Linked DNA regions of Mytilus edulis. Each later gene encodes a partner of the first gene's protein in a complex. Links are inferred from orthologs where the notes say so. Each region holds a gene or a part of one and is shown on either strand. Other genes may lie near its edges. The genes, in order: evolutionarily conserved signaling intermediate in Toll pathway, mitochondrial-like; transmembrane protein 186-like.

Evidence for each region.
Region 2: evolutionarily conserved signaling intermediate in Toll pathway, mitochondrial-like (region 1) and transmembrane protein 186-like share a complex: the UniProt entries of both Homo sapiens proteins name them as parts of the mitochondrial complex. The link is inferred for Mytilus edulis from reciprocal best matches to the Homo sapiens genes ECSIT and TMEM186.

What each region holds. Positions count from the first base shown.
Region 1 is NC_092352.1:11,358,098-11,374,562, forward strand, and holds the start of evolutionarily conserved signaling intermediate in Toll pathway, mitochondrial-like, read right to left. Parts: upstream 7,897-16,465; 5' UTR 7,817-7,896; intron 1-7,816.
Region 2 is NC_092352.1:9,637,638-9,654,032, reverse strand, and holds transmembrane protein 186-like, read left to right. Parts: upstream 1-8,166; 5' UTR 8,167-8,245; coding exon 8,246-8,277; exon of another isoform or gene 8,278-8,337; intron 8,338-8,379; exon of another isoform or gene 8,380-8,470; intron 8,471-9,577; coding exon 9,578-10,268; 3' UTR 10,269-10,339; downstream 10,340-16,395. UniProt on the Homo sapiens protein: As part of the MCIA complex, required for efficient assembly of the mitochondrial complex I.

The DNA.
Region 1 (16,465 bases):
GTTACATTCATACCATATACTGACTTGGTTCTGGATTGGCAAGGGTTCTAGATTTACATGTTTGGTTCTGGATTAACACGTTATATTTATACTATATACTGACTTGGTTCTGGATTGACAAGGTCTTGGTTCTAGATTTACATGTTTGGTTCTGGTTTAATAAGTTATATTTATACCATATTCAGTTTGGGTTCCGAATTGACCAGATCTTGGTTCTAGATTTACATGTTTGATTCTGGATTAACACGTTATATTTCTACCATATACAGTCTTGGTTCTGGATTGACAAGGTCTTGGTTCTAGATTTACATGGTTGGTTCTAAATTAACACGTTCTATTTATACCATATACTGACTTGCTTCTGGATTGACCAGATCTTGGTTCTAGATTTACATGCTTTGTTCTGGATTAACACGTTACATTTATACCATAAACTGACTTGGTTCTTGATTGACAAGGTCTTGGTTCTAGATTTACATGTTTGATTTTGGATTAACACGTTATATTTCTACCATATACAGTCTTGGTTCTGGATTGACAAGGTCTTGGTTATAGATTTACATGGTTGGTTCTAGATTTACACGTTCTATTTATACCATATACAGTCTTGGTTCTGGATTGACCAGATCTTGGTTCTAGATTTACATGTTTTGTTCTGGATTAACACGATATATTTAAACTATTAACAGTTTTGTTTCTGGATTGACCAGGTCTTGGTTCTCGATTTACATGGTTGGTTCTAGATTAACACGTTCTATTTATACCATATACAGTTTTGGTTCTGGATTGACAAGGTCTTGGTTCTAGATTTACATGTTTTGTTCTAGATTAACACGTTATATTTATACCATACTAGAACACACCCGTGATATCACGGGTCCGTGACTGAATTAAAGTATATATATTACTATGCGCAAGCCTTATTTTAGTATTAGTATTGTCATCTGATAAAGCCATGCCGATTATAAGATACACGGTTTTTCTCTGCTTTCAAGTCTTTCTGTTTGAACCCGTCGCACTGAAACAATAATATTAATTATTTGGAAAACAAAAGGTCCTGGAATGGAGTATTTTTTAATCAACAGCATTGTCCTATATAAGTTATAAATAAAGTTGAATTCTTTGCTTCGCTGTTTTACGTCATGCCCACTAACAAATTGAAAACTGTACCTATACGCCTTATTTTTAGTCCAGATTTTTTGTATTCGTATTGTTATCTTAGAAAGTCTTACTGATTAAAATACTATAATAGGTAACAATTTGACAATTTAGTAGTGTCAACCCTGTGGTTATGACCCGTGTATATAGCATATTAATCCTGAATACAACGTTTGGTGGTGCGCCTGTCAGATGCGGAACGTACAGATAAGGTAATAGGTAACAGGTGAATATACTATTGGTATCGGTAGCGGACTCGACCCGGAACTTCTTAATTATTGGCAATATTAATTACGTGGAAAACAAAAGGGCCTGGAGTGGTGTAATTTTTAATCTACACCTTTGTACTATATTAGTTATATATAAAGTTGAATTCTGTGATTCGTCGTTTTTACGTGATGACGGCTGACAAATTGGACCTCGTAATTTTAGTATTATAGATACTGACTTGGTTCTGGATTGACCAGGTCTTGGTTCTATATTTACATGTTTGGTTTTGGATAAACATGTTATATATATATATATGGATACATCTGTTGTAGGGTTGTCACTGACTCAGACGTACTTATGAATATAATTATTTTCTGTGACTGTATCTTACATTAATTTGTAGGATCCTTTACTATAGATAATTTAGCTGATCTGTAACAATCACATCTTCATGCCTTATATATCATGTACTGTAGTACGCCGCTAGATTAAAACTGACGTGGAAAGGTAACACATGGCCAGCGAAAGCTCTTTTTTTGAGAGCCCAGGTGGTCGTGTGGTCTAGCGGGACGGCTGCAGTGCAGGCGATTTGGTGTCACGATATCACAGTAGCATGGGTTCGAATCCCGGCGAGGGAAGAACCAAAAATTTGCGAAAGCAAATTTACAGATCTAACATTGTTGGGTTGATGTTTAGACGAGTTGTATATATATATATATATATATATATGATTCCATATACAGACTTGATTCATATATACACGTAATATACTAGTATATATAGACATAGGTTTATCGTGATTCAGTCTTTTTCGAAGGGAAAGAAGATTTTGAAAATTCAGAGGGGGGAAATAAAGTGTAAGTTTAACAATGAATTACATTGATTTACGTTACAATAACATTAGGGTCTGGATGGGGCATTCATGAAGAAATATGGCAAATAAATATAACACGTATAATGAATAGAGAAAATGAACTGAAAATAAAATAATTATGTTATACGTTACTGATTAAAGAAACGAGTTATGTACAGAATAAAGAATTCCTCCAATTACAGAAAATTTGAATTGTAAAATTATTTTAATGGGAATTTTACAAAATAAGCGTTATTCTTACAGATAAAGAAAAATGCCCTAAACATTTAAAGAATACAGAAATTTAAGAACCCTATCCATACCATTTTACTTGGCTTCGTCCTTATTTTAATTAAGGGGACGGGCATTTGGTATTCTTGGTTTTTGTGGAATCAGGGGCGTAGCTAGGCAATTTTGATGTGTACGCAATGCCGTAGAAGGAAGTCATACGGCGGTGGGTCTTGGGCTGCTCAAGGCCCCCAGAAGCTCTGGGGGTAAATTGGGCAAAATCCTGCATTCTCACAACTTCCGAGGACTTAAAATGACCTCACAGAAATCTTACTTTTAGGAGAAACAAGTCAACTTTGGAAATAAATAATCAGAGAAAAATAAAGAAACCCGTACTGTTGGCTTAACAATTTGTTTTTTTCCTTATGTGTAGTGTTTTAAAATGGCTTGATAAGGTATATTTTATTTGTTACCTAATCATGCTGAACCCACTTTACATTAGAAAAACTAATTTCTAAGCCAACACTGTGCAACTTAAATGGTATTTTTTTTTTATTGAGAAAATACATAAATAAAAATTCGAATCACATATATCTTTATGTTTTATTTTATGAGTGAACAAGCAGTGTTTTTCAGCTTTTTTATTTCTCTCAAAGTTGATTCTGAAAAATCAATGCCCATTTCCTTTCTTTTTTTCTACTAAAGATGTCCAAAACCGTGTCTGCTTTGATTTTTTTTTCGGTATATGTTCAAAAGACCGAGTCCATATAAACGATTCGTTTTCATTGTATTTTTCAAGTAGGTCTCCACTCTTCTCATCGAGACCGGCATACGACGGACGGATCAACAGAGAGACGGACGGACAGACGGATGCACAGACAAGAAAGCACAATGCCCATCTATTATCGTGGGTAGGGCATAACAAAATCAAATCAATTTTATTTCTTCAACAATATTAAATAAAATTCTAAAAATTTGCTAGTAAGTAAAGGTTAAAAATGGTAGTAAAGGGTGGGGTTTGGATGGTGGATCAGTAATTTTTTTTTATTCAAATTAGGATTACGGAAAACAAAAACTTTAAAACTGAAAGCATGGAAAATACGCACTTTTATTTAAATTTGGGAACATGTAACTTGTTGAACGAAAAAGGCACCCGTCTTTCACAAAAATTAAAAAAAGTGAAAACACGTTGAACGTCAAATGAAAAAAAAAACGATGAGTACAGTTGCACGAAAACTTTACCCTTTACCACCCCCGTTAAACTTAAGTTGGACTAGACTGTTTTTAAACTTATACATACCTCACAGGAAATTCATAAGAATGAATTGATGTCCATGGTCTCTTAAGAATGTCATATTTTATTTCATCAGTTATTTTGGAATCTTCAGAAAAGATGCCAGGGTAAGGAGGCATAGAAGACGTAACAATTGTGTTTTGACACCCGGAGGACTCAGTCATTTTAAATTGTTTGCATCAGCAACATAATTACGATGTTGGTTTCGTAAATGAAAAGGGAAGACTAGTTTTCGGAACGGAATATAGCTACAAACATCATTAACATATTTGTATATTTTTTTTCATTAACTTCATTACTTTAGTTTTATTCTAACTGTATTTACCATATTTTTATTTTTGCTGAATGTTTGATGTGTACGCAACTGCGTTTTTGCGTACGGGTTGCTACGCGCCTGCATATACATTGCATACATTTATAGTATAAAAAGTCAAGTATGATAATAATGTTTAATACAACTTGATAAAATGTGATGAAAAAAAAAATAAACATGATAACATGATCAGTTTTTAATATTTTTGATACAGGTAGGTTGATTTCAATAAATGATCTGTTATTTTGTATTTGAAAGAATTAACATTTGTAATATTTCTTAACGGTATTGGCAAATTATTCCACAAGAATGGTCCAGAATACATAAAAGATTTTTTTGAACAATTCTGTTTTTGGTTTAGGGAGTATGAGGTTTCCTTGAACAGCATTTCTCAAGGGGTATGGATTTCTGTCTGAAACATAATGAAACTTGTTAGTAAGATATGATGGGGCATCATTTTTAATGCACTTAAATGTCATCACTAACTTATGATATTTTATTCTCTGTTCAACTGTCATCCAGTTTAAATGTTTGAATAAGGGTGCAGAAGGAGCGAATGGGTCTAGATTTAGAAATTTTTTAATCTTTAATAGTAGATATAGTCTAGATGATATTTTTGAGCAGATCACATCAATTTGGTTTGTCCATGTGAGGGAAGGGTCAATTTTAATGCCTAAAAGACTTTCACATGTGGAAGATTGTATAACTTGATTGTTAATAGTTAAACAACTCTCATTGTAATGTGGCATTGCTCTTTGCTTCTTTCCAATAATCATATATTTTGTTTTATTTTTATTGATGAACATATTGTTATCATTGCACCATTCCTCTACACCATGTAAATCTTCTTGTACCTTTGACTGTAGAGTTTGATAACAATTACCAGAAAGATGTAAAGTTGAATCATCGGCATATAAATCAGTGCAACAATTTTGCATATAAATAGGAAGGTCGTTTATGTATAATATAAACAGAAGGGGCCTAATATGGAGCCTTGGGGGACACCATACTTGATATAAAGTTTTTCAGAATGAGCATTACCAATTTGTACTTGTTGAGTTCTTTCATTCAAATATGATTTAAAAAAAGAAACAGCAGTATTATCAAATCCATAAATTTCAAGTTTTTTACAGAGCATATCATGATCTACTACATCAAAAGCTTTCTTAAAATCCAACAGGACTGCTAAGTTGATATCACCATCATTCATATCCTGTATCCATTTATCTATGATATTGATAAGGGCAGTTTGGCAAGAGTGTTCTTGTCGAAACCCAGACTGTGCTGGGTGTAAAAGATCTAATCTTTTTAGGTAGTCATACAAATGTTTTGAAACATGCTTTTCTAAAAGTTTTGATAAAACAGGAAGTACAGAAATTGGTCTATAATTTGTTGCCATGAATTTTTCACCAGCTTTAAAAACTGGGGTTACTCTTGCATTCTTTAGAACACTGGGTAATGTACTTGTATCTATTATTCTGTTAAAAATGTAAGTTAAAGATGACGTTATGAAAGGAGCACTCAATTTTAAAAATTTTGGTTCTATGTTATCAAATCCGGTGGATTTATTAATGTCAAGTTTGATCATCTCATTAAATAGACCATTTATTGTGACTGGTGCAATTGAAAATTTTACTTGTTCTGACTTATTAAATTTCTTTTGTACAAATTGATTTAATTTTGCATAATCATGAGTTTTGCTCATACATCTGTCAGTCCTCAGGTTTTCAACACAAGATGTAAAAAACTTATTAAAACATTACAAATGTCACTGACATTATTAGTTTTAACACCATCTTCATTTAAAAGTTCATATGGCTTTTCTTGTTGGGATGGGTTAAGACTTTGAATACATTTCCACAAATCTTTAGAAGCTTTTGAATCTTTTACCATCTTTGAACAAAATTTTCTTTTTGATTCATCGATTATGTGTTTTGTCCTGTTTCGCCAAAATTTGAACTCGGACCACATTCCTAATTTATGGTATTTCTCTCTAATTTTTCCATTATTGAACCATTCAGGTTGTCTGTCTAGGTTTCTGACACAGAATGAATGTAGTCTAAGAACTTAAAACATTTAATTTTAAATTGGACTTTTACCTATTGTGGTCCTTTATCAAAAATCTTAATACGTGGTTTGAGGCACTTGTCGCAGAAAAAAAAATCCTATATATGTAGACTTAGGGGTCGCCCATTTGACATTCTGGGGGGGGGGGGGGGGGCAGGAGGATTTGTTTTTGATCGGTTATTTATTTTTGTAATCTAAGAGGACAAATTATTCATTTTCTGCACTATTGAAGCAAGATTTTTCATTTCCATTAAAGCAAGGGACTCATGATTATTCATTTTCACAACTGTATTTATGATATTCGAAAACATACAATTTTTAAATGATTTGTTTATTATAAACAACATATTTGTGTTTCCTTTAAATTTTTATTTTGACATTTTTTTTGCATGCTGTGTTGATGTGCACGCAACTGCGTGTTGGCGTATAGGGAGCTACGCGCCTGGGAATTGGCTATTTATTTACCACTGTTGGTAGGTATATGCATTTTTTTAAACGGATTTCTTCCCCTAACTCTCCCCCGAAAATAAAATAGTCGTCCACTAAACAGAATTTAATAAAAAGTCGCTTTCGTTTTGACGTTTTTGTTATGTAGACATTACGTAGATAATCATATTATTTTTTTCTCATTTAAAGATTTTAATCATTTACATGCCTACATAAATAAACTACGTCAAACTTATCTTTCTCTTTAAATTCCAACCTCTGTTTTACTCATATGCCAAAAAAATTCTGGTCGATAAAAGTAATTTTCACATGGGAGAAAATGCTTGTGTAATTGTAATCATATTTTGATATTTTAGAAATACCCATCATAAATGTAGTATTGTAGATCGTTGTACCTGATATCTATGAAAAAACACATATTACATTCTAATATTGAATAACTTATGAATATTTTAATATGTATGAAACTGGAACTAGTAAATAAATGTATTAATTAGTCCCAGATAAAAAATAAATACACATATATTTTTTACTTTACTGGCACAGTGAAGCGTTCATCAACACTAAGCTTTCAATAATTTCTTTTTCTTACAATTTTATCTTCAAAATTGAGGTCAACAAGCGTTTGTAATTAATTACGATAGAACTGGAATCAAATTCATGAGGGTCTGGATTGAAGGGGAGGGGCTTTTTTTATGTCTTTATTCTTTGATTTTGAGTTCATTTTTTTCTAATATTTATTATTTATTTTGCATGCCCATTATTCTTTATTCTTTGTAAGTGTGCACCATACACTTGTTTATTAATTTTATTATCATTTTTGCCAATATTCTATATTTTTCATTCATTTTACCCTTTATTCTGCACTTTTTTTTACCATTATTCCCTTTTCTGTAAACCCCATCCAGACTCCTATTCACGCCAAACAGAACCTGAGAACAGAACATAAATTTATGTGCCTTTAACAGAGAAAAATATTTAAATGTTGCCATTTTATTCGTACATTTTATTATTATCAGTTCAACAGTTTAATGATGTCCAATGATAATTGTATACAAATGGTGTTGATTTCAGCTACTTAAAATTTGATAATAAATCCGGTATCGTGACAGTTCACATCATCTTTTGGGTAGATATATATGTCTATTTGTAGGCTATAACGCAGGTGTAAAATATGGTTCTACTTTCACTTCCGGCTCTTAATTGACATAGGTTCTGATTTCACACACGCTGATGGGTACTGTTGAAAATATTTCACCGACTGCTAGCCGGAAAAGGCTCAGTTTTTGTAAATGTGACACAAAGTCCGGAGAGGAACGTGTTAATCCGGAAATTGGTATATAGAGAAGATAAATTTGAATAGAGGACCCAGTAATTATAGGCATAGTCAGACAGTACGTGTGTTTTAGGGTTGCACTAAAGGAAGATTCTTCAAAAATGGTCTGGGTAGATTTATGATACAAGATCCACATCAAAGACCTACCAGATGGAGTATAATCAGATAAATTTGGAAAATTTGTAAAATTCAGCGTAAAAAAACAATGTCAGAAATGGACATTTATCAATTCAATTATATACTGTCAGTCTAGATCACCCTCAGATTTTGGTTGGCTTCATGTTACCAAGACTAGTTCTCTGTGTTGTTATTTGTATACTTTTATATTTAGTAATTTTAATTTTTGCCCTTTGGCTTGACATTTTTATACCGGCAGAGAAAATTCTAAAAAAAACTTGAAAAAATACAAGAGAGTGCATTGAGATTTGTATATGACGACTACTGATCATCCTCTGAAACTCTTCTTGAGACACAAAGGTTCCAACCCTACAAGTAAAACGCATCAGGACAATGGCACTTGAGACTTATAAAAGTTTTAAATAATTTGGCTCACAAAATTTACTCCAAATTAAACACACTAAATATTCTTTTAGATACAGTAATATTTTGGAAATACCACTGGTAAGAACTACTTCATATGGAAAAAAATCTTTTAGTTTTGCTGCTGCTTCTTTATGGAATAGCATACCAGACCATTTCAGGACTGTTAACAGCTTCTCACATTTTTAAAGTCTTGTTCAGACAGTCCTGGAGTGGAACAGAATGTTTTTGCTCTGCCTGTAGATAATTTGTGTTGCTATTTTTATGCTTAACCCTTTTTATGCTGCATTAAGTAATAACAGCTAGCATTGTAACTGAAATTTTGTTTTTACATTTTGTTTGAAAGATTTAAATTTTTTACTTTATAAATCAGTCATAAATATCATAAATTATTTAAAAAATAATTTTTAAACTGCAAATTTTTCAAGATTTAGTGCTTCATATATATGTTTTGGTATTTCGCAAGATACATGTATATGCTATTGCTTAGAGTTAATTTTTGGTGCTGCTTTTTATTATTTATTTTGTATGCTGCATGCCTTGTTTTATTTGTTATTGCATATGTTTTTATATTCCGGGTGAAAAGCTCAATAGAGCTTATGTTTGTACTGTTTGTCAATATGCCGAATCCAAATAAAGTTTTACTTACTTACTTACTTGTATAGTATGCTTTTGTCTTTATTACCGTTTTTTTAGTAGATTAAGTGGGAGGGGCAGATGGGTTCTTAAAATAAACATTGTGGCCTGGTAAGAGCTGGAAAGAAATAACCTCGCTTAAGACAGGAAGAAAAATTAATATTCAATAACATAACATACAGGAAACAATTGGGTACAAAAAATAAAAAGATTTTAGCGCACTTAGCATCTTAAAAGAAATAAGCCTGCGTGGCAACAGGTAACAATGAATAGTAAATCGCAAAAAAATGCTTCAATCGCCCCCTTCCACCAATAAAATAAATCAGAAATAAATCAAAAACAAATCAAAAATAAATCAAAAAGTCGTTTCATAAGTACACCACCTTGTGAAGGAAACACCCTCTTAGACCGTTTTATATAAACCTCTCGTCTCCTAACTAAACACCTAGTGAATGCAACTCCTCTACGACAATTTTACAGAAAGCCATCGTCTCCTAACTACAACACCTTTTGAAGGCAACTCCTCTAAGACCGTTGTATAGAAACCTCTCGTCTCCTAAATTTAACACCTATAATGAATACAACTCATCTACGACAATTTTACAGAAAAACTACAACACCTTTTGAAGGAAACTCCTCTGAGACCGTTTTATAGAATTCTCTCGTTTCTTAATTACAACATAAGTGAAGACCACCGCCCCTACGACCATTTAACAATTCCCCTGGTCTCCTTGTGATGGCAACTCCTCTAAGACCATTTTATAGAAACCTCTTGTCTCCTAACTTCAACACCTAGTGAAGACAACTCCTCAACGGCCATTTTACAGAAACCCCTCGTCTCCTAACTACAACACCTTTTGAAGGCAACTCCTATAATACCATTTCACAGAAATCTCTCGCCTTCTAACTACAACACCTTGTGAAGGCAACTTCTCTGAGACCGTTATACAGAAACTTATCGGTTTCGTAACTACAACACCTTTTAAAGGCCACTACTCTAAGACCATTTTACAGAAATCTCTCATATTTTGTTACCCGACTATTCTAAACCAGTTGTTATATTTCCCCCACTACTTTGACCTCTCTTAATGTGAATATTAGGCAAAGAATCATTGTAGGTACATATCTAGTCGGATTTGTTTCCGAGTCATTGTAAATAAACCAATTTTACAGGCGTTGAGGGACATTGAGTATTTCATGGAGAATTGTGAGAATGCAGCTCTTCTGGGACGATGCATCTGACAGGAAGCCATCATACTTGGTAATGCATGTTATTTGTAGTTGACCATATAATACTGTCATTTTGATCCAACCATTTATATAATTATATCAGAGTTATGGGATTTTTTACCTTTTTTAGTGTTGACTTTTTGTCCTGTGACTTTCTGTTCTACATTCTAATATCGTTATTTCAAACTGAAATCTCTTGAGTATGTCTTTATTTTTCTTAAATATATTAACTATTAAATCATAGGAATCCAGAATAAATAAGGTCCAGAAGAGGTTTTTGTATTTCAAAACTTTGGAGAACTCATTACATTATGACAGTTGTGTAAAGATTAACAAGATTTCTACGCCAGAAAAGAGGAATTGTCCAGGTGCATTATTGTTGATCGATAGTCAAATAAAAATCAAAGTGATGGATATCACTCATGGAAAGATTGGAAGAGTAGTTTGGATAATTTCATATTAAGGTATGGAGGGGACTGAAAGAACATAAATAAAGCACTATTGCTGAAAATTCTTCTAGTAAATGTTACAACTACTCTTATAAGACATAAGCTAAGAACTTTAAAGTGTCAACAAAAATAATCTAAAAATGTTGTTTTGGGGCATTTTGTAAGTTAAAACATAGGTTATATGACATTGAAGATTAAAAGTTGTGCCTTTTGATCAATTCATATTTTTCAGAACGGGGCATTGAAAATGTACTTTTTCAACGTAAACAAATTAAAAAAACTTATTCTAGCGGATTTTTTCTTGATTGCAAAAAGATGTATTCACTTTCTTATAAAAATTCAAATGACTAAAATAAACATAATGATTGATGGGGAATAAACTAATAAAAAATGGTTTGTTATAATCAAAAGTTTTAAAATTTTAAAACTGTTTCAAGCCAATTACTGATATAAAAAAAATAAGTGAACTAACCTAAATTATTGATTAATTGCAGATGAATATTGTAAATTTATCAAGTAAATCATACGCCTTACTTGAATACCTTTTATATATTCATATTTATATTTCATTTTTCTTAAAGATCTTATTAATCCTTAATTAATCATTTATCTTTCAGACACACTTTACAGATTCACCTTTATGTAATGTAGATCAAAAGTAAAAGGCAATAAATAAATCTATCATCCTTATATATCAAACATCTAGTATATACATTAGTGTATTCAATTTTGAGGTCAAATATTTATTGATATTTGTTTATTGGGATGTATATTGAAGCATAGATGTAATAGGGTCGGTATAACTATGTAAGACTTAGGTTGATAAGTAATGTGGTCAATTTGATTGACAGTTTAGGAGGTGGGGCATTGTAATTAAAGGTCCACCTTGTCCCTGAATGGTTGATGATAATGAGTTGTCAATCATCTAGTATTGTATCAATACTCAATATGTTTAAAAATAAAGCCTTTTCATCAAGACACCTTAATGACATACCTTCTTGTATGAACTGCTCCAAAAATATACCCATTTGTTAACAGTTTATATGTATATTATGTGAACATACATGAGAACTATAGGGAACTATATTTCAGTGTGAATACATTTAGTAATAGTAGCTAACCAGTTGTGTTGTTAGAGAGGCCAGTGCCTAAGGAAAGATTTAGAACAAGTTCCAATCTTTCCAACAATGGTACAATTTTGTCCACTACACATGGCAGACAATTCTTTAAAGAGTGAGAGTTCTAGCTCTGTCGAATGATTTCAGAGGAGTTGTGTTCACAAGCTGACACTATTAAAAATACAGTGATTACTTTCAAACTGCAAAGTATGTCAGCTATCCTCACACTAAGTCCTGACTTCTTGCATAAAATTGATTTCTTCAAACCCTTTTCTACTCACAACTGTAGAAATTTTGCTAAAACAAGTGCATCTGAAGACATCAGACAGAAGCAACAATTTCTAACTAAACTATAATTTGTCTTGGTTTTTGGTTACCTGCCAATAGCGCTTACAATGCTTTGATTTCAGTTTATTTTTTGCAGTTCTGACCTTGACCTTTGGCCTCAAATTAAATATGATTATACCCATCTGTATGTCTCCCATCTGAACATGTTTTATTATCAAATTAAATTTGAACACACTCATATAACCAACACCACATTGTCACTGAGAAAACAATAACTGTCCTTTCAAAGTTCAAGGATTCAAAACTCCTACTATAACTACCAGTATTATTATTTTTTTTGTGTGAATATGAAAATTAACATTTTATGACCTTATTAAGTAAAAAAAGTTTCATAAGATTCTGTTATGTTATGTTGTTTTAGAGATATGTGCTAACAAACTATTGAATTTGTATATCATAGTCAAAATTCTAATTCAAAGGGGCATAATTCTTTAGAAAAAGCATTGAATCTCAAATGTGTCATTATGCACACCTACATATAGTATGTACTAATTATCAATAAAGTTTCATACAATTCTGTTATGTGGTTCGAGAGGAGTTGGAATGACAAACTGTTGCAGTTGTATATTTGCCAAAATTCTAAGTTCAAAGGTGGGCATAACCGATAAAACTGATAAAAACAATAGTTGAAATCATAATTTCCTGTCAGTATGGAGATATCTACAAAGTTTCACGAAAGGAGAAGGTTCAATAAGGCACTTAAAGATGAAAATGGACCCCTTTTTCACCTTAAATTTAAATTGTGATTTATTGACCAATATCACAATGAATCATAGGTTATATAGTGACAAGGATAGGAAACAAGCCAAGTACCTGAGTTCAATTCACAAATAGTACTCATGAAAATGTATAACTGTAAAATATAAAGCTTATCTTAATGATTCTTGACTGGGTCATCCATACTTTATCTGATGTACAGAAGTTTTCGTTTGTTTATGTAGTTCATACATATTTCTCGTTTTTATATAGATTAGACCGTTGATTTTCCTGTTTGAATAGTTTTACATTATAATTTTTAGGGCCCTTTATAGCTTGCTGTTCGGTGTGAACCAAGGCTCTGTGTTGAAGTCCGTACCTTGACCTATAATGGTTTACTTTTAAAAGTTGTTACTTGGATGGAGAGTTGTCTCTTACCACGTCTTCCTATATCTATTTATATTATCACCTATGGTCTACCTGGAGACAAAATTTCTCAACCAATAAATTTATTTGTGTTGATGTTTGATATAATTGACTGAGCTTATGGTTTAAGTTATAGTGTGAAGTCTGAGACTGATGGTTCTTGAGTCAATAGATGGGCAACTCTGGAAACTAACAAACTGAAGGGATATGTGGTTTAACCAGAGAGAGGATTTTCAACTGAATAATCCAAATGTTACAAGAGCACTGACAACCAACAAACCCTAATTTTTTTTGTGTTCTTCATATCCATGGAAATCATAAGACAGCTTTGATTAAACTATTAAATATAAAGTAAAATTAAAAGAAGAAACATCAGCAAGTTTTCATTTCAATTTATTACAAATATTTTGGTGTACAAGCTTCTCAGTATCATCATGCTTACACACACAAAATACAATAATTTCCAAAACATACAAACAATGCAATGTTTACAGAACATTTCATCCATATTTATATCAAATGATCAAATGTTCTAGGGTTTATGGAAGGGAAAATTTTTACAAAACAGAGACCAAGCAAATATATTTAATGTCCTGTGAATTTAGTGGTTTTCATGGGTTACAATTTTTGTGGATTGATTAAGTAAAAACTTGTATTTTTGTCAATATTTGACTTTGTAGTTTTGCCAAAGTCTGCTTTAAGTCTATAGAAATTTTGTAATTCATTGAACATTTAAATTAGTGGTTCACCTTTAACTATGAAATCCACAGAAATTGATAAATCATGAATAATAATGAATTAACAGTATTTAAAACACAATAATGTAACGCTGAAACAAACAAGAAGGAAAACAATTCATTTATGTTGTAAATAACATATTTAGTTTAACATACAAATAGTAGTTTAAGTCACAACAAATCCTGTAAAGCACATAGGTTATTTGTGTTGTCTGACCATTCCTTTCTACATAGCACATCAAGGTGAATAGATGGTCAACTGTTCTCCAAGTCTTGTTATGGTCATCAATATTATTGTTGTATATAAACAGGCCAAAATGTAATGTAAACAAAGCACTTCAGTTTTATACATGTATCTGTATGTTTGACAGTTAACAAGTAACAACTCTCAACATAGAATAACAATAGCACTGTCATCACAAACAAGGAAAATATTGTAGAAAAAAACTCTGGAAGAAATACATTCGACTATTCTATTATGTTACCCCAATCCCAGATTGAGATCAGTTCATGTTCCTTTAAACATGTTTGAAATTCATAAAAAGCACTTTAGAAACCTTCAGCAGCCACCAACAGAAATTAAACTATCTACATTTTCTTCTTTTTATGAAATATGTCTAAATAACTTGGCTTTAAAATGCCTAATTTTAGAAAACTTGTGTGTATCAACAAAATAGCCAAACAAACAGACCACTTTAAAAAAAATTATATTACAATATTAACATACTTTTATTTTTTTTCCAGCCACATTCTTTTTTTATTGGGGATTTTAATATTACCCATCATAGAGAACTGAGAATAATACTTTATTTTTCTAAATGTCAATTAATTGCTGTTGAACAATAGGCATAATAACAACTTGGATGTACAAAGCAAAAATAAATCAATAAAAAAACTGATTTTTTTTTCAATTTTTCTAAGATAATTGTTAATTAATTATAAATTATTGGCACCAATCAAATCATCTGTTATTCCTTCAGTACGCTGCACGTTTTAACACTTTTCAAAAGTATCATTCAAAGTAGATTCTAGGTCAATGCTTTTGGGGATATCTTTCTCTCTCTCATCTCAAATTTGTAAACATATTTATATTTGAGGAGAATTAAACTTGCCACTCAATCCAGTAAATTAAGAAACCAAGAAAGAAAATGAAAGAAAACAAAAATAAACATCTGGTTTTCCAGTGAATTGTATAAACACCAATTTAAGTTCTGATTAGTTCAATAAAGCATTTTTAATACAAATACTACAGTATACTACAATGAATGTACAGAATTATTGTTCCATCTGGACTTTTTATCAAATAGAAAGTCCTTGACATAAAAAAACATTCTTTAAATATATTCCGTAAGTAGAACATTTTTATTATGATATCAAAATAAATGTTAAATATTACATTCAAAATATTGTATGCTTCCAGAATTATTTTATAATTGAAACTTCAACCAGGTATAAAATCCTTTAAAACAAGTACTGATTATATCAAGATGATGTTACAAAGTCCCCTTAGATCTCAATAATCTCATGTCAAGGATTTAGTATTTGTTTCAAAAAGACATTGTTGCTAGGTGCTTTTTCAATTAATTTTATTCAGACTTCCAAAAACAGGTTCTCAGAAACTCATAAGCATAATTTTTACTTTTAACAGTCAGTTAAAAAGATTAGGACACTTATGAATCAGGAATATATCAAATTGCCTTCAAACAGCGCCATGTTAATGCTAGATGGACACAAAAGGACATAAAAATTTAACATTTAACCAAAGCAACAAGATAAACAGTCCTATTTCTAAAGGTTGTCACATACAAACTAAAAAGCATCACGACTGATTAAATATGTCAGCATAATATACAAATAAAAATACAATCTTCAAGTTAATGAACAAAATATTTTTTTTACAGTGAAGTGACATGAAAATATGATACAAGTCGAAGATCAATGAACTCATTTGATTTCTCATGCTTGATTTTTTTACATAACACATATATTCATTATCACAAGCAATCAAATTTCTGAGAAATTTACCTCCTAAAATGCTAATAATGAATGCTTTATAAAACTCAGTCAAACTGTGAACTAAAAGATTTTGTCAGATATTTTCAAAAACAGTTGCATTAGGAGTGCATTATATGCCAATATGGCATTTGTGAAAATACAAAAAAACTAAGTTAAAAGTGAATTTATCTAGCTTTGAGGAAAATACAGATTTTTATGAATGATGTTTGAAAACTTAACGAAAGAAAGAAAAAAGGCGGAACATTGAAAAAGGAATTTTACCTTTTCCAATTTTGAGACTATAAAACTTATCTTTATAAATAAATAATTTGTAAAGGTTGTTCTAGTATTAAATGGTTGGAAGGGTTGGAAAGGTCCTATTTA
Region 2 (16,395 bases), about 1.7 Mb from region 1:
TTGTACGATTCTCTCATGTATGTAACAATGTTTTAGATTTTAACGAGAGAAATTTATGTATTACTGAAAAATTATTACACCAGGGTTTTCCATATCACAAACTAGTCACAACATTTACTAAATCTTATCAGCGGTATAAGGACATTATTCGTAAATATAGCTCAACATACAGACTTCTTATACGTTCAGGTATTTCACATCCAATTTTTTATGGAAATATTCTTTATAAAGCACAAAGGTGTCAGTATTCACCTCAGAAACTAACAAAACCTTTGAATAGACTTATTAAGAGGGATTTAGTAACGATACTGTTGTCAGGTCATTAAAGATTGCATATTTTGGCGTTAATATTAATTCACGTATAGGGTCTTTGCATCGGAACTAAACACATTCATTTAAAAAACAGTTGTTGGCATGACACTGGTTATGTTCTTCTCATATATGTTATGATGGTATGATACTAAACCCCTAATGGGAAGGATTGTGCTTGATATTCATATGATGAAATCATAATCTTACAGTCAGTTTTATTGAAGTCTGGAGCTGGCATGTCAGTTAACTGCTAGTAGTCTGTTGTTATTTATGTATTATTGTCATTTTGTTTATTTTCTAGACTATGGTTACATGTACATCTTCTGACATCAGACTCAGACTTCTCTTGAACTGAATTTTAATGTGCGTATTGTTATGAGTTTACTTTTCTACATTGGCTAGAGGTATAGGGGGAGGGTTGAGATCTCACAAACATGTTTAACCCTGCCGCATTTTAGCGCCTGTCCCAAGTCAGGAGCCTCTGGCCTTTGTTAGTCTTGTATTATTTTAATTTTGGTTTCTTGTGTACAATTTGAAAATTAGTATGGCGTTCATTATCACTGAACTAGTATATATTTGTTTGGGGCCAGCTGAAGGACGCCTCCGGATGCGGGAATTTCTCGCTACATTGAAGACTTGTTGGTGACCTTCTGCTGTTGTTTTTTTTTCTTTGGTCAGGTTGTTGTCTCTGTGACACATTCCCCATTTTCATTCTCAATTTTAACATTTTGATAAAATAAAATAATACACTAACCCTTTGCAATGTTGCAGTTCAACTTTTAATCTAGGGTTCTGGAAAACATTTAAAATATCTCTTGCAGTCATATGCAGGGTATAGGGCTCATAGGTTTGACTCAATAAACATGATAAAGATTTGCTAAGTTTACTGACATGTAGAATCCCAATATCCCTCTTAGTATAAATAGCCACATGTGTGCTCAAATAACCATTTAGATTAGTCTCAAAATTGATATATCTAACTCAATTGAGTAGATCTAGCTAAAATTTTACTCATAAATGTAAGTGATCATATTTGCTCAATTTAAGATCTCATGGGTGCTCGTAGTGAAATTTAACTGATTGTATTTGCTCAAGTACTCATGTATGCGTGAACAAATGTCTAATTCAAATACCTAAAATTTTACATGGATATGGTTACACAACTTAATAATTTTGGCAATACATGTACATGTGACATGTTAGTCCAAATAATTATGACGTCTTAAAAGGCTATTATATTTTTTTTCTTTGACGCCTTACTTCCGACGTCGAAGTAAGGCGTAAAAGAAAAAAATTTAATAGCCTTTCAAGACGTCATAATTATTTGGACTCGAAGTAAGGCGTCAAAGAAAAAAAATATAATAGCCTTTCAAGACGTTTATTTGGACTAGTGACATGTATGGTCAAAATTATACAATACTACAAGGAAGACTTAAAAAACAGAACAGTTAATCTATATTTATATATACCTCTAAAACTGTAAGGATTCTCCAAATATATCTAGTGGCTAGTAAATTCAGACATTTTACTTTCACTTTCAGTGTAAAATAAGACTCTTGCTTTTATGAGCAAGAGTCATAATTGACACTCAAAAATAGTCCATCTCTATTGGAAGAATAAGAAGTCGAAGATTCTCTGAATATTACATAAAATACAATTATTTCAACCAATAATTATATATAAGAATTACTTACAAATTCATTAACAAAATCCGCTTTTTTACTAGTCAAGGGACATAATTATTCAAATATACTAATGCAAGTAACTAAGTCGGAGAAGGAGCGAAAATCCGAAACAGCACCTTAATTAAAAAAACAGAAAATAGTTCCACGTGCACGTGCGTGTCCAAGTGATCAATCTACTTGTTATTTACGAAGAAAAGAAATTTAACTTCAAAAATTGTTGAGATCTTTGAAAAAAAAACTGATTCCATTAAAGAATACAATGAAAGTAACCTTATCTTTAAAGGCCTTGCAGGTTCTTGTTACTCCTACCCAATCTGCTGGTATTTTCAAAATGGCTGCGGGGGACGCGGCCTGACAAATTATTTTAATATTGTGTCAGATTAAATATTCCTGATTTTGCTTCGTTAATATTATAGACAAATATGCTACAAACGGTTTAAAGATGTTACTCTAAATCAAATAATTGAAATATAATTACCTTTCTGTGTGTAATTGCGTGAATTGATTTTCTCTCGTTTATCTTCTCGCTCTTGCTCACTTGATGAATATGCATAGGTGGTATTCATCCGCGACAATAATATTTCGGTATATCATTGATATTGAAGATCGTTTGATTGATATACGAATATTTCTAACGACAAAACATTTTCATGTTATTAATTTGCATTTAAAAAAATCTGAGTATCCATTGAAAACATGAATATAAAAGAAGAGACAAGGAATTTTATTCTGCACTATAATGTTCGCGGGTTCATAATGTCGGTTATTATCCCAACACTAATTATATACGCATCTCTTTGATCTTTGAAGATCTTTGAAAAGTAGGCGATGGCAATACACCCGAGGCCCCTCAGGGGCCTCTGATGTAAAAATGGTCAAAGACATTTAGACACTATGTATATAAATTACTGTCAATTATTAAAACATTACAAAATCCATGTACCAGGTGTCATTCCAGTTAGTGTGAGAAACTGAAGACTATCTTTGGTAAATACGGTTAAATGTTTATTAAAGTTTTCAGTATTTCTCCTTTATCAGCATATAAGCAATTCTTCCAACATACCAAGTTATCTTCTTAATTACACCTTATGTAAGAATCCTGGGTTTTGACGGGTTGATAGCCATTGTATTTTTCACCAATTTACTGTAATGATCTTTAATCAAATGAATATCGTTCATTTTTTAACGCCGCCGGGGTATGACATTACGGCTCGTGAAATTTTACATTCTCTCGACTGGTTAATTAACATGATACATCTGTTCAATATTATAGCAATACTATTAACGTTAAATTAAGTTCAGTTTTTCATTCTAATTTTTAGATATTATTAGGACCATGTTTCGTGATGACTGGTAATAGTACATTTATTGAGTTAATTAAACAAAGTACATGACTATATGAGTGGATGTTGCCCTTGAGAACCCTGATGATATATGACCATTTATATCCATGACACTTACATGTTCCTAGATTTTTATAAAGGACATTGACTTAAATATTAAAAAAAGCAATTTATAAATCTAGTATCTCAACCTAAATAAATTAATATTTTAAGTAGGTGTGTAACCTTACCAAATATGTAAGGTTACAGATATGTACAGCAAGAATGAAATGTCTGTGAAAGTGGGCAATGTAATGACACCATCTTTCAGTTCACTAGTTGGGGTAAGACAAGGGGATGTTCGATCTGCCTCCAAAATTTGAGCCAAGTCCAGATGCTGTTGATATCAATGGGCGTAGAATTGATTGTCTTATGTACGCTGATGACATTATTGTATTATCAAACACAAAAAAAGGTCTTCAAAACCGACTTGATATATTGCATACTTATTGTATTGACTGGTGTCTAGATGTAAACTTGTCCAAAACAAAAGTTTTAATTTTTTTAAAACAAGCCTGGAAAATTTGTAAAGGAATCATTTTATTTAGATAAAGAGGCTATAGAATGTGTTAATAAATGTAAATATTAAGGGATATTCTTTACTTCTAGTGGTCTTTTTCAACAGGGGAAAGAAGAGCTATTCAAAAAATCCTTAAAGGCAAAATTTAAATCACAAAAATCCATGTCAGCTTGTAATCCAAGTATTGATACTGCAATTCATTTATATGATCACACAATAAAACCAATTTTATTATATTGTAGTATAATTTGGGGTTCATTTAAAATTAACTCTGCTGCTTGCAAGAAAAAAGTGATTATCTATTTGAATTAATCTACATAAATGATTATTTGGAAAAATCACATTTCAGATATTTAAAGTATATTCTTGGTGTAAATAAGAAAGCCTCAAATTTAGCAGTGTTATCAGAGGTTGCAAGATTTCCTCTTTATTTTTCTGTCATTATATCCATGGTAAAATATGTACACAGGCTTAACAAGTTGGACAAAGGGTTACTTTATGATGCTTATGTTTGTAATAAAATTTTAGATGCAGAAAACATTAATTGTTGGTATTCATCTATGAAATATGTACTTCAATCACTTGATATACAAAATTTAGATACAAAGCTCAATAAATTAATTAAATTTGTAAAATGTAAACTTTGTAATAGTTTTAAAACATTTTGGTTGGTCAAAAGATCTGAAACCTTATCACAAGGTAATAGTAAATTAGAGAATTATTTCAACCTCAAGACTGACTTTGTAAAGGAGGCTTTTTTATCAATTAAAGATTTTAGTATAAGAAGAGCTATATGTAAAATGAGAATAAGTGCTCATGATCTGAAAATTGAGAAAGATAGATATAGTAAAAAATACATAGAGATAACTCAACGTCTATTTCATCACTGCTTATCACATGGATCAAATTCTATTGAAGATGAGACCCATTTTACAGTAAATTGTCCATTATATGATGAACAGAGGAAATTATTATTTGATAAAGTTATCACTTTTTGTACTAATTTTAAAGAACTACCTAATGATAAGAAATATTTCTGGCTGTTCACAAATGAGCATTTACCAACTCTCATGTGCCTAGGAAATTACATTATTAAAGGTTTAGAAATAAGATCCAGATGTAAACAAAATATATGAAATAATTTAGTATTTTATTGTTATAAGATTTAATATAATAGTTATATAAAACACATGTTGTGTTAGGCTCTGATCCTGTCCATAACGTTACAGTATGTATTAGTTTTCTGTTTTGCTTTTTCCAATCATATTGTGTTGTAAAATGATGCTCTTTACGGGTTCTTGATTAGATTAATAAAATTCTTATCTTAAACAAAAACAAAAAAAAATTCTTATCTTATTGACCGCAAAATAAAAAAAATCTTTCAAATGATAAAAAAAAAAAAGATATTAAAGATGCATTCTGTCTTGGTGTAAAACATTGTAAAGTCTAGCCTAAAACCACATAAGAGCAGCCACCAGACAATATATGTTACACCAGACGCGCGCTTCGTCTATACACAAGAATCATCAGTGGCGCTATAATTGAAACAATTGGTTGGCCAAATCAACTATGAAGTTTAAAAGCAACAAAAAGCGAAAACCGTTCGAATAATTAGATATCTTATTAACAGTTAGTTTACAGAAAATGAACACATCAATGATATTCCACAAAGACACAAAAGTACTGACTACGGGGCTGGTTATCTCCAAAAGCATGCCATCGACCATAACTTGGACGGTTGTTTTTTTTCTGTTTTTGTTTTCGCCCGAGTTAACTCTTAAAGTCTTACTATATCATATTTTAGCATGGTTTTATATTTCAATAGTACATTTAGTAGGAAAACTGTAAACAGAAATTCCTGTTTAATTTGATATATTCGATGTGTTGCAACTTTTAAAAAGATATGTTTATTTCAATCGGAAAGTACTTGCGGTCACTGAACTCAAACTTAAACCCCTTTCAAGACATAATTAAAACTAAAACAAGACATTTGTTCCCCAGTCTAAAATATAAATCATCCCCATTTACAGACCTTAATTTGTTGTTCTTAATGTGACACTATAAATTATCAAAATGGTTCAGGTTCTATCTAAGCAACAAATAAAAAGCAGTATACATGTCTGTTCCTTCTGATCCTGTGAACTGTCGCATCACTGGCGGATGATGCAACATAACTATTTTTTTTCAATTTCGAATTTATCTTTTTAATTTGTCTTCATAAACGTCATCGTTCAGGTGGATCAATGTCATAGATTTATAAACAATTTGCGTATCGACTGTAAAAAGCATGTTTATTTGTTCACTGCAAATCTCTCAGTATGTATTGAGAGTCACGCCATGGTCATTGAGTAGCAGTAGCAATGACCGTTTACGGTGAGTTCTTGTTCCATAAATGTTGCCATGTTTCATTTAATAACAATGATCAACAATATCCGCGCGAATTTTTTTTTTTGTCATATGACAATCGAAAAATGTTAACCAAATTTAGAATAAGCAATCTTGTCTTTTAATAGAAACTGGCCGCGATATGCAAAAAAATAATAATACCAACAAACGAAAGAAAATGTAAAATAATATGTAATGTATTAAATGACGTATTCCATATTTTTATACTTGTAAACTGATTTAATAAAAATAAAAGAGAAATCTTTCTTAAATATTATACCGAAAAATATGTTAATTTTAACTTAACCAGAGACATATAATGCATTACAAAACTTAACTGATAAACTCGTGATTATGTAGGATTATATAGTGTCCCCCATAAAATTATGTCCCATGAACAAAATTTCACAGACATGATCTATGAAATTTGGTCCAGGACATAATTTTATTATAAAATATTGTCCACCTCTATGTAAAAGTGTCCCTTGGCAAGAGATTCTATTGTGACCTTCGTTGGACATTTTTTCATAGTAAAATCATGTCCATATTGCATAAAAGTCCTGTCTTATACCAAAAAATTTATTTAACAAAAAATAATAAGACTAAATTGACATTTGTATTTAAATAAGCAATAGGAATCTATGAATTGTTTTAACATCTTTGAATTATCCTTTTTAACAAAATCAAAAATGTCAGGAATAATATTCATAAATGCTTGATTGCAATTATGATTGAATATCAAGTTTTAATGTTTGCTCTTGTGTTTTTGTTTTTTGTCAACATTGATATAATACATTTCATTGTTTTTAATGTGAAACTGCTTTGCCTTCCTTTTAAATGATCTATCATTATTTTCAAATTCTGGAGGGTATTGACCATCACACACATAATTATACAGCTGTTTATATTTATCACTTTCCATTTTTGTTCACATCTGTGTTGTCTTTATTTAAATTTCAACTATTATTTTAAAACTAATTGATTAAAACATTTCAATGATTTCTAAATTATTTCCCTTCAATAGGGACAGAAAAAAATAGCTACACTATGAAATATTGTCCTTTGTGACATATTTTTATATAACATCCATGAAATTATGTGCAAGTACTAGGGACAATTTTTCACTAAGGGAGACACTATTTTATGGTTTACAAATGTGATATTTTGTCCCTTGAACAAAATTTCACGGCTGAACTGTGAAATAATGTTCTAGAGGACACAATTTCATGGGACACTTTTTTGGCTTACAATTATACTAAATCCATCAAAACCAAATGATATAAACACAGTTTTTTTTTAAAGCGTCATCATGAGAACTGAGCATGGAGACCAATAACTGGTTTTAACATGCATATTATATTTGTTGAGTTTTTCTTATGTTTGTTTTGTCTATGTATATGCTATAACTTATTTACTAAAATTGTTTTTTGTTTGTTTAGCAAATAATGTATATATATAATTATTAATAAATTTATCAATCGTTCATTTTGTGTGTAATCAGTATTGTTTGCTTTTATAAATTTTGATTTTGTTTCTATTGTGTATGTTTGATATGTTTGTATATCTATGAGGTGCCGTTTTACTATTTATTACTTAGTTTCTGATATCAAAAAATGATTTTCTGATTTAATATGTTTATTGTGTTAATACATGTTGGTCACACACTAAAATGTATACGACAATAAAATATTTGGTTTGATTTGCCGGTATTGTATTACCCAATTATTTAATTCCCATTGTTTTCTTTATACTTTTGCACCCAATTATTCTCTGTGACTACTTTATTCAATAATGTTTCCTTATTTTTTATTTTATGGCCAATATTCTCAATTCTGTAGGAACCAATCGAACGAATGTGAAGTAATATTATCTTGTATTGAATGAACGAAGGGAATTAACTCTTACCTGTTTCAAATAAATTTTCTTTTAAATCGTAGATTGTCTCCCATCAATTACCAAAGATGAACGTGTGGAGTTCTGGCACCTTTGCTAGGTATGATATATGTTATTTATCGTGAAAACTTTTCATTAAGTATCGAAAATCTAATAACATATCTAAACAAACTAGGCCTAATCACTAACACATTGTTCCTACCTCAATGAGCCGTGTGTAGAAATTCACAAAGATAAACCCTATTAGCCTATGCTACAGATATAAACACCGTGCTTGCATCGGAATATGACCGACAATTTCCCGTGTATTATATTTCCACAAATAAATTGTCCGTTTTCCAACCAAAAGAGTAACGTGTAAATAATATAACTTAACAACAAAACAATTATAATCATATTGAGATTGAGATGAGACCAAGTTTTTGTAGAAGGGGAAGGGTGGGGGTAGGGGAGGGGACAGAATTGAATAAAAATGAAAATAAATATTTGCAACACAAAATAGAGGAAACCTTTGTGTACAAAAGTTCACATAAAAAAATAACATGCATATCAACTGTTACAACATGAAAATTGTAACCGGAGGGGTTTTAACGTTGCGTATTTTCTGTGTCAACTTTAACATATTTTACCCCAGACCGTGTATTTACAATAGGAGGTCAATTAACATGTTAACAACACCTCGATTTTAGCAACAACAGTTAACAACATATTAAAAAATGCTGATATTAACAGTTAACACATAGGGTTGAAATTAAAACAGTCATCAGTTTAAATTTATCTCAGATAAAAGTTAACAACACCTTGAAAAAGGCCATGACAGGTTAACATAAAAAGGTATAAAAAGGTATTGCCCCTTTCATACCGGGTATATGTAACATTTTAAGAAGCAAGATCAGAGTTGCCTTTAATATATTGATTCTTATTCCTGCATATATACAAAACCCTACATTTATACAAAATGCAAGGAAGACCTATAATTTCCAAGAGAAAACGAAACAGAACTGAGAATGGAAACAGGGAATGTGTTAAAGAGAAAACCAACAGACCAAAGAGCAGAAGACAGATCAAGGCTATCTATTGGTCTTTAACACAGGCAAGAAAAACCTGCACCTGGAGTAGTGGTTCACCTGGCTCCTAAAAAATAAGGTGTAACAGATCAAGGCTATCTATTGGTCTTTAACACAGCCAAGAAAACCTGCACCTGGAGAAGTGCTTCAGCTGGCTCCTAAACAATAAGGTGTACTAGTTCAGCTAAAATGGACATCACACTAAAAAAACTTTGAATTATATAAATGAACCAAAAATTTAAAAAAGTTACCAAGTGGTTTATACATTATTTTACAGCTTATTTCGATCATTTAATTCAATATCATTTAAAACAATTATATTTTTTTTTACAGGAGTGCGGTCCTCACGAAACAATGGAGAAATGCTGTGATCAAAAGATGTATGAGTTCACCTTGTTTAAAAAGAAACAGTGGAAAAGTTTTGTTTACAAACAAATTAAACAGATTGACTTACTTCCCTAGTCGCTGTTATCCATCTTCAGAATACCCAGAGACATTTGATCCTTTCAAGAAAAAAAAGCCAGAGTTTGATCCAAATATTGCAAAGAGGAAATATAAAACCATTTATTTCTTTAAACCAATTAAAGTGGCAAAAATTTTGTCAATGTTAAAGATATACCAGACTGGATTTACATTTGCCTTGGTTCCATACTCATTATTTATGTTTCATTCTCAACTAGCTGATTTTAATGTTATTGCTGCATGTGTTGGACTTTCAATATCTGCCACAGTTTCTTTGTATTATATCAGTATGTATATACAAAACATCACAGGTATTATTGGTGTAAATGAGGATATGACAAAAGTAATGATTTCACATTTGAATTTCTGGGGCAAACGTGAGGATCAAATTTTCAAACGAGAGGAGATTGTTCCTTTCTCAGACAGTGGAGAAGATGTGAAAAGTGACATTTATAAATTAATAACATTTTTTTCAAATGATCAGAAGTTTTATCTTTTTGTGAATAGAGGCAAAGTTGTAGATAGAGAAAAGTTTGAAGAAATTTTTGGAAACTTGATATAAATAAATGTATCACTTTTATGTTCAATATTTTAGTGACAAATAATTCAGAATAAAAGATGACATAATTTTAAGTTTATATTTAGATATAGAGGTAGAAAGGTGAAGATGTATCAATGATCTGTGATTATATCATGTACATGATTTAAGGACTTGTTGATATCGGAAGAAAGATAAATGTCTTTTAAAATATTTAAGAGAATGTCTTATAAGCATGTATTTTTCAGCATTCTGATTAAAGATTATTATTCAATGATAAAAAAAAAGAGAAGGACTTAAACCTAATTTTATTCTTTTTATGAATTAAAAAAATCTTTAGAACAATTAGCTTTTATAAGTAATCTGACAAAAAAAATGAGTTATTAAATATGACTGATGATAAGGCCATGTAGGTCATTGCCATCATTTTGCGTCTGTTGTTTATTTCTGTCGTCTCCATACTTTTCAAAGAACTTTTTCTCTGAAACTACAGAACCACTTTTAACAAAACTTGGGATGAGTGATCTGTCGCGATCCTTAGGGTATGTATCTTGTATAAAATTTGTGTTTTATTCTGGTCAATAAACAAGCATGTACACCAGACTTAAAAAAGAACAAGAGTTAAAATGTATTCATGGTCTTTTATCTTGAAAACTGTCACAACTAAAAGGTAGAGAAAATATGAAAAATCAAAATTGTTCAGAATGCCAAGATCTTCCTCCTCACAATTTTCACCAAAATTATTTGTGTGGGAGTTATTTCCCTTAAATGACAGTTTTTAGTTAATTTTCATGTTTTAGCCTATTATTTTAAAACTTTATAAAAAAAAAAGAAAATGTGGTGTGAATGCCAATGTGACAACTCTCCACAAAGAGACCAAATAACACAGAAACTAATAACTATAGGTCATTGTACAGCCTTCAACAATGAGCAAATCCAATATTGCATAGTCAGCTATAAGAGGCCCCAAAATGAATATTTGTTGGACTTGGGTAAAAACTGATAAGGTCAAAAATTATAAGCAATACAAAAAGTGCCAAATAATAGAAACCATTGGATGACTTCTTAACATATTTTGGACTATTTTTTGTGTCCGTCATGACTTTTTCAAAGAACTTCTCTGCTGAACATGCTGGCTGAAAGAACTGAACTGAACCAATTCCAACAAAATTAGGGGGGGGGGGGGGGGATGATCCTTAGATATATAATTTGTGGTATCTGCCTGTCTGTCAACAAACATCTATTTTTAACAATCAATTAAACATAGAACATTAGGATAAAATCCATTTTCTTGAATCTTCAAACCATAAGAGAACAAGCAAATATAAAAGGACAAAATTTATCAGAGATCAACCTACATCATGTACTTACTGTTTCTACCAAAAATATCATCTGACAACTTAATTAGATGAGTAGAAACTATAACATGTAAAGGCAAAAGTGATCATCAAAACAAGATCTTCAAAAGTGTCAATATTATTTATATGATTAGATCACTCATCAGCAAGGAGTTATTGCCTTTAAATAACGATTGTTGACAGATTTAAGTGTTTTTGCCTAATATCTTTAAAATTATAATGGATAAATGGAAACTGTAAGCAACAAAAAAAGGTATTGTGATTATTTTTTTCACATATAACAGTAAAAATTTGGTTCAATTTGTAGTAATTATTTCTGCATTGGAACAAGTTTCAGTTATAAAAATATTGCATCCATTGAAACCTGAGACATCTGTGCAAAATTACACATATCTTTCAATTTGAAAATGTACAGCAAAAAAGAAGCAGCCAATCGAACATTACCATCAAGGAAAGGAAAGTTAACCAGAAGAGAAAAAAAGTAGAACAGTTTGTCATAAAATTTGTAATGATCATTGCCATGTGAAATGCCAACATCATGGTCTAAAAAGGACAGTGGTCACTCAGTATTGAATTAAGTAAGAGCATGGAAATGAAATGAAAATGCATTTCCATAGAAAGAGTGAGTTGAGGTGGACAACCTAAACATCAATGAAACATTTGCCACTGGACATAAAGTAAACAACCTGTCAATTAATCTAGCAATCACATTTAAAATATCTGGAATGACTACAGAGAAAATGTCTTCTAGATATCTTCATGTTTTATATATCTAGCAATGCGTGCATTATTAGTCTTTTGGGTAAAGATTGCATGGAAATGAAAGGCACTGACTTGATATCTAAATCTAAAAAGTTGATCATTCACTGACTTTGAGATAGAAAAAAATATAGTGCATTGATTATAACAATCTATACATCCAATCCAAGAACATTTCCAGATATTCAAGTCACAAACTGATGTTATACTCGTCAAGAAAATATTGCAAGGCACACGAATCTAATAGCTGTACATGTTCTTAAATATCAAGGATGTGAATTTTAACCAGATTTTCGAAGTAAAATTAATTTGTTGATTTGGGGATGTACGGCAGGCAGTGGCTGCCAAACAGTGTCCTTTCATTTCATTTCATAAAAACCCTAAGAAGATTTTTGTCATGCCCCCTCTATGAAAGTAGAGGGACATTATGTTTTCTGGTCTGTGTGTCTGTGTGTTTGTCCGTCCGTCTGTCCCGCTTCAGGTTAAAGTTTTTGGTCCAGGTAGTTTTTGATGAAGTTGAAGTCCAATCAATTTGAAACTTAGTACATTTGTTCCCTTTGATATGATTTTTCAATTTTATTGCCAAATTAGATTTTTGACTCCACTGAACATAGAAAATGATAGTGCGAGTTTCAGGTTAAAGTTTTTGGTCAAGGTAGTTTTTGATGAAAGTCCAATCCACTTAAAACTTAGTACACATGTTCCCTATGATATAATCTTTCAAATTTGAATATCAAATTAGATTTTTTTACCCCAATTTCACGGTCCACTAAACATAGACATTGATAGTGCGAGACTGGAGCATCCGTCTACTATGGACAAATTCTTGTTTAAATTTAAATATGTTGTTTCTTGTGACAAAATAAAGGTCAAGTTCAATTTTAGCTTTTCTCATTGATAAGTTATAGCCCTTTCCCAAGAATTAAACTTTTGATAAATTAATCAATATCTGTACAAAAGGAAATTACTCAATTTTTAAAAGATTTTTTAGACAAATAGTATTAGTTAATGATAAAGGACATTTTGGATTTTTGTTTTCTTTTCTTTGGTAAATTGTTTGAAGACTTTTGTGGTAGGTTTGTTTGTTATTCTGTATAAAATAGTTTATATGAATGCTTTATATAGAACTATAATAATATATTTAGATAGGATATATTTCATTACATTACATTGTGTAGATCTTTATTAGTTTGTGACAAATGAAAGAAAAAGAATTTGGCACTTTTAATTATATATGACTATAAATTGAAAAAAGATATACACTGACTGTGTTACATCATATCTTATAATCTTATTTTAGAGAAGTTTTTCCAGTCTTCAGTTAGAATACTGTGTTAAACCACAATTATGTTCAAAGGGAAATAACTCAAACTTATTCCATGAACCAGTAATGACATGATCAAAATTTCTATTTTTTAAAGTCAAGTCAGTGTGTTATGAAGGTAAATGAAACAATTGTTATTTGGTATTTTATTTTTGTTGTGTGTGATCTTTATTGGTGTTCTCCATTAATATTCAATACACGAAAATAAATCGTATCCGTAATGGTATTCCGTATTCGGTTAAAAATTAGTATATTTTCATTCTGGTACCCGAACTGGTTTCAGCAAACCATAAACAAAACATCTACACGTGCAAAGATTGCTGATATTACCCTGTGACTGTGTAAAGGTACTTATAATTATAGTATAACTAATCGCCGTATTTGAATATCAAAAATAAGACAACGCGTGACCGAACGACGCATGGATTAAACGAGTGCGCAGCACGAGTTTAATCCATAGCGGCGTTCGGTCACAAGTTGTCTTATTTTTGATATTCAAATACGGCGATTAGTTATTCTTTTTATTACATTGGCAAATGGCTTTTTTTTATGAAATTAATGTAGAAAATGTAAGGAACTATATCTTTTTCCTACGCATTGACAATTTGTTTTGATCCGACGTTATCGACGTCTTGACAACGCCTATTGTTGTATGACGTCAGAGAGTGAAATAACCACGTTTATTTCACATGTGAAATTATCGGTTTTTATCTAACTGGGAAATCAATGTAATTCATTGCAACCAATGTAATAAATATTGTTACTATACCTGATTAGTATTTTATGTAAGCATAAGGAAAAGTGGTATATTGCCATTGATGCAACTGTCTATCAAGAATTAAAGGTAAAGGATTTCACCATAGTGGCTTTAATTTATGACGGTCCACAGATTATCATTTTACCACTTTTACCCATGTGAAAATTATAGAAGCACTTGTTTCCGTCCATGGAAAGGTCCAGAGGCGGATTTAGGGGGGGCAGGGGGCCCGGGCCCTCTTTTTTCAGAAATATTTTGGTTGGTTATATAGGGAATCAATGAAGCGTGACGGAATCGGGCCCCCTCTTATAAAAATGAATCCGGGTCTGTTCGCGCCCAATCACGTTCGCACCCTTCCACATTCGCCCCCATTCACTTTCGCACCCCACATGTTCGCACCCAAATTTTGCGAAAAGTTCGTTCGTACCCAATTTTACCAATTTTTTGGAGGTGTATTGGTATAAATATATATGCCATTGTTTCTAAATAATTCGAGATACTGACAAGTTTTTTTTGTGTCATGACAAGTTTATAAAAAAAAGTCCTTGTTTTTAAGTCAGATTATGTTATTCTGACAACAACTATTTCATTTGTGTGTTGAATAATTCTTAATCGTGTTTTGGTTAGTGTATTGAAATAATTTGTTTTTCACTGTTTCTAGTCAATTAAGTGCGAATCTGCCAACATGTTGAACAACTGGTATGCATGGTAAGTGTATTGCTATAATTAATATTTATTTTATTAGTATTTACATCAAAGCAATTTAAAACAACAATCATGATTTATAAACAACAGTAAACAATAACACCAAGTTAGGCTGTTTATAAATACCAATTAGCAATAATCATACATAATCAACATTTAATAATTAATCATCAGATTGATAAAAAAAAAAAATCTATTCAATAAATTCTCAAATTTTATTCAAAAAGAATACAATTATTTGTTATATTCATATGAATAATTTCTAACAATTTAACTTAAATTTTATTAAAAATTGGGCGCGAACATGTAGGGTGCGAACGGACGTGGGGGGCGAAAATGTGAGGTGCGAACGTGTAGGGTGCGAAACTATATTGGGCGCGAACGGACCTGATACCTATAAAAATTTCTAGATCCGCAACTGAGGTCGACTATTTCTATCCATGTGTAATCTAATAGTCAACCTTATATATTCTTTGGTTATCTTAATCTTACAAAATTGCTCTTGCGACCACCAGAAGCGTTGAGTTTTGGTGTATCAGATCAATGTAGAATGTAGATGTAGATACAGCACAGCATATTCGCAACACACTTACATCATACATGTTTTTTTCCTGAATATGCATTTAATTTGACACTGGTGAGTGGTCATGAAATGGAAATCAATTCAGTGATTGATTATATCATGTATATGCAACAAACTCTTAAGGTTCATCATAAGGAATTGAAAAATTTGGCCGTGTTTACACCTCCAAAATTAATATGAGTACAGACAAACTGGTACATCCAGGAAAGTTTTAATGCATGGCAGGAACTAGATATATAAAAGTTATATGAAGTCTACGTTTCAGAAAATTAAAAACTTACCTGGATTTTGATGTTCATTTTTTTCCAGTCTGCAGAAGATAGCAAAATAAACAAACACCCGAGTTTCATTTGATACGGTCCACTCAGTTACACAGTTTAAACCTGTTAAATAACCTATTGTTTACAGGTGTCTATTGTCCATCTATTGTCCATTTAAATCAATACTACTCACAACATTGATTATATGAGGGGAGCTTCTCAATCGTTTTCACTACTTAGTTAATTTTTGCACCTTCTGCAGGATTGAAAAAAAATGGATAGCAAAATCTAGAAAAGTTTATAATTTTCTGAAACATAAAATGCATTTAAAATTTATATATCTAGTTCCTGCCATCCCTTAAAACTGTTGCAGGTTGTCGTAATTTCTGCTTCTTGCTATGTTTT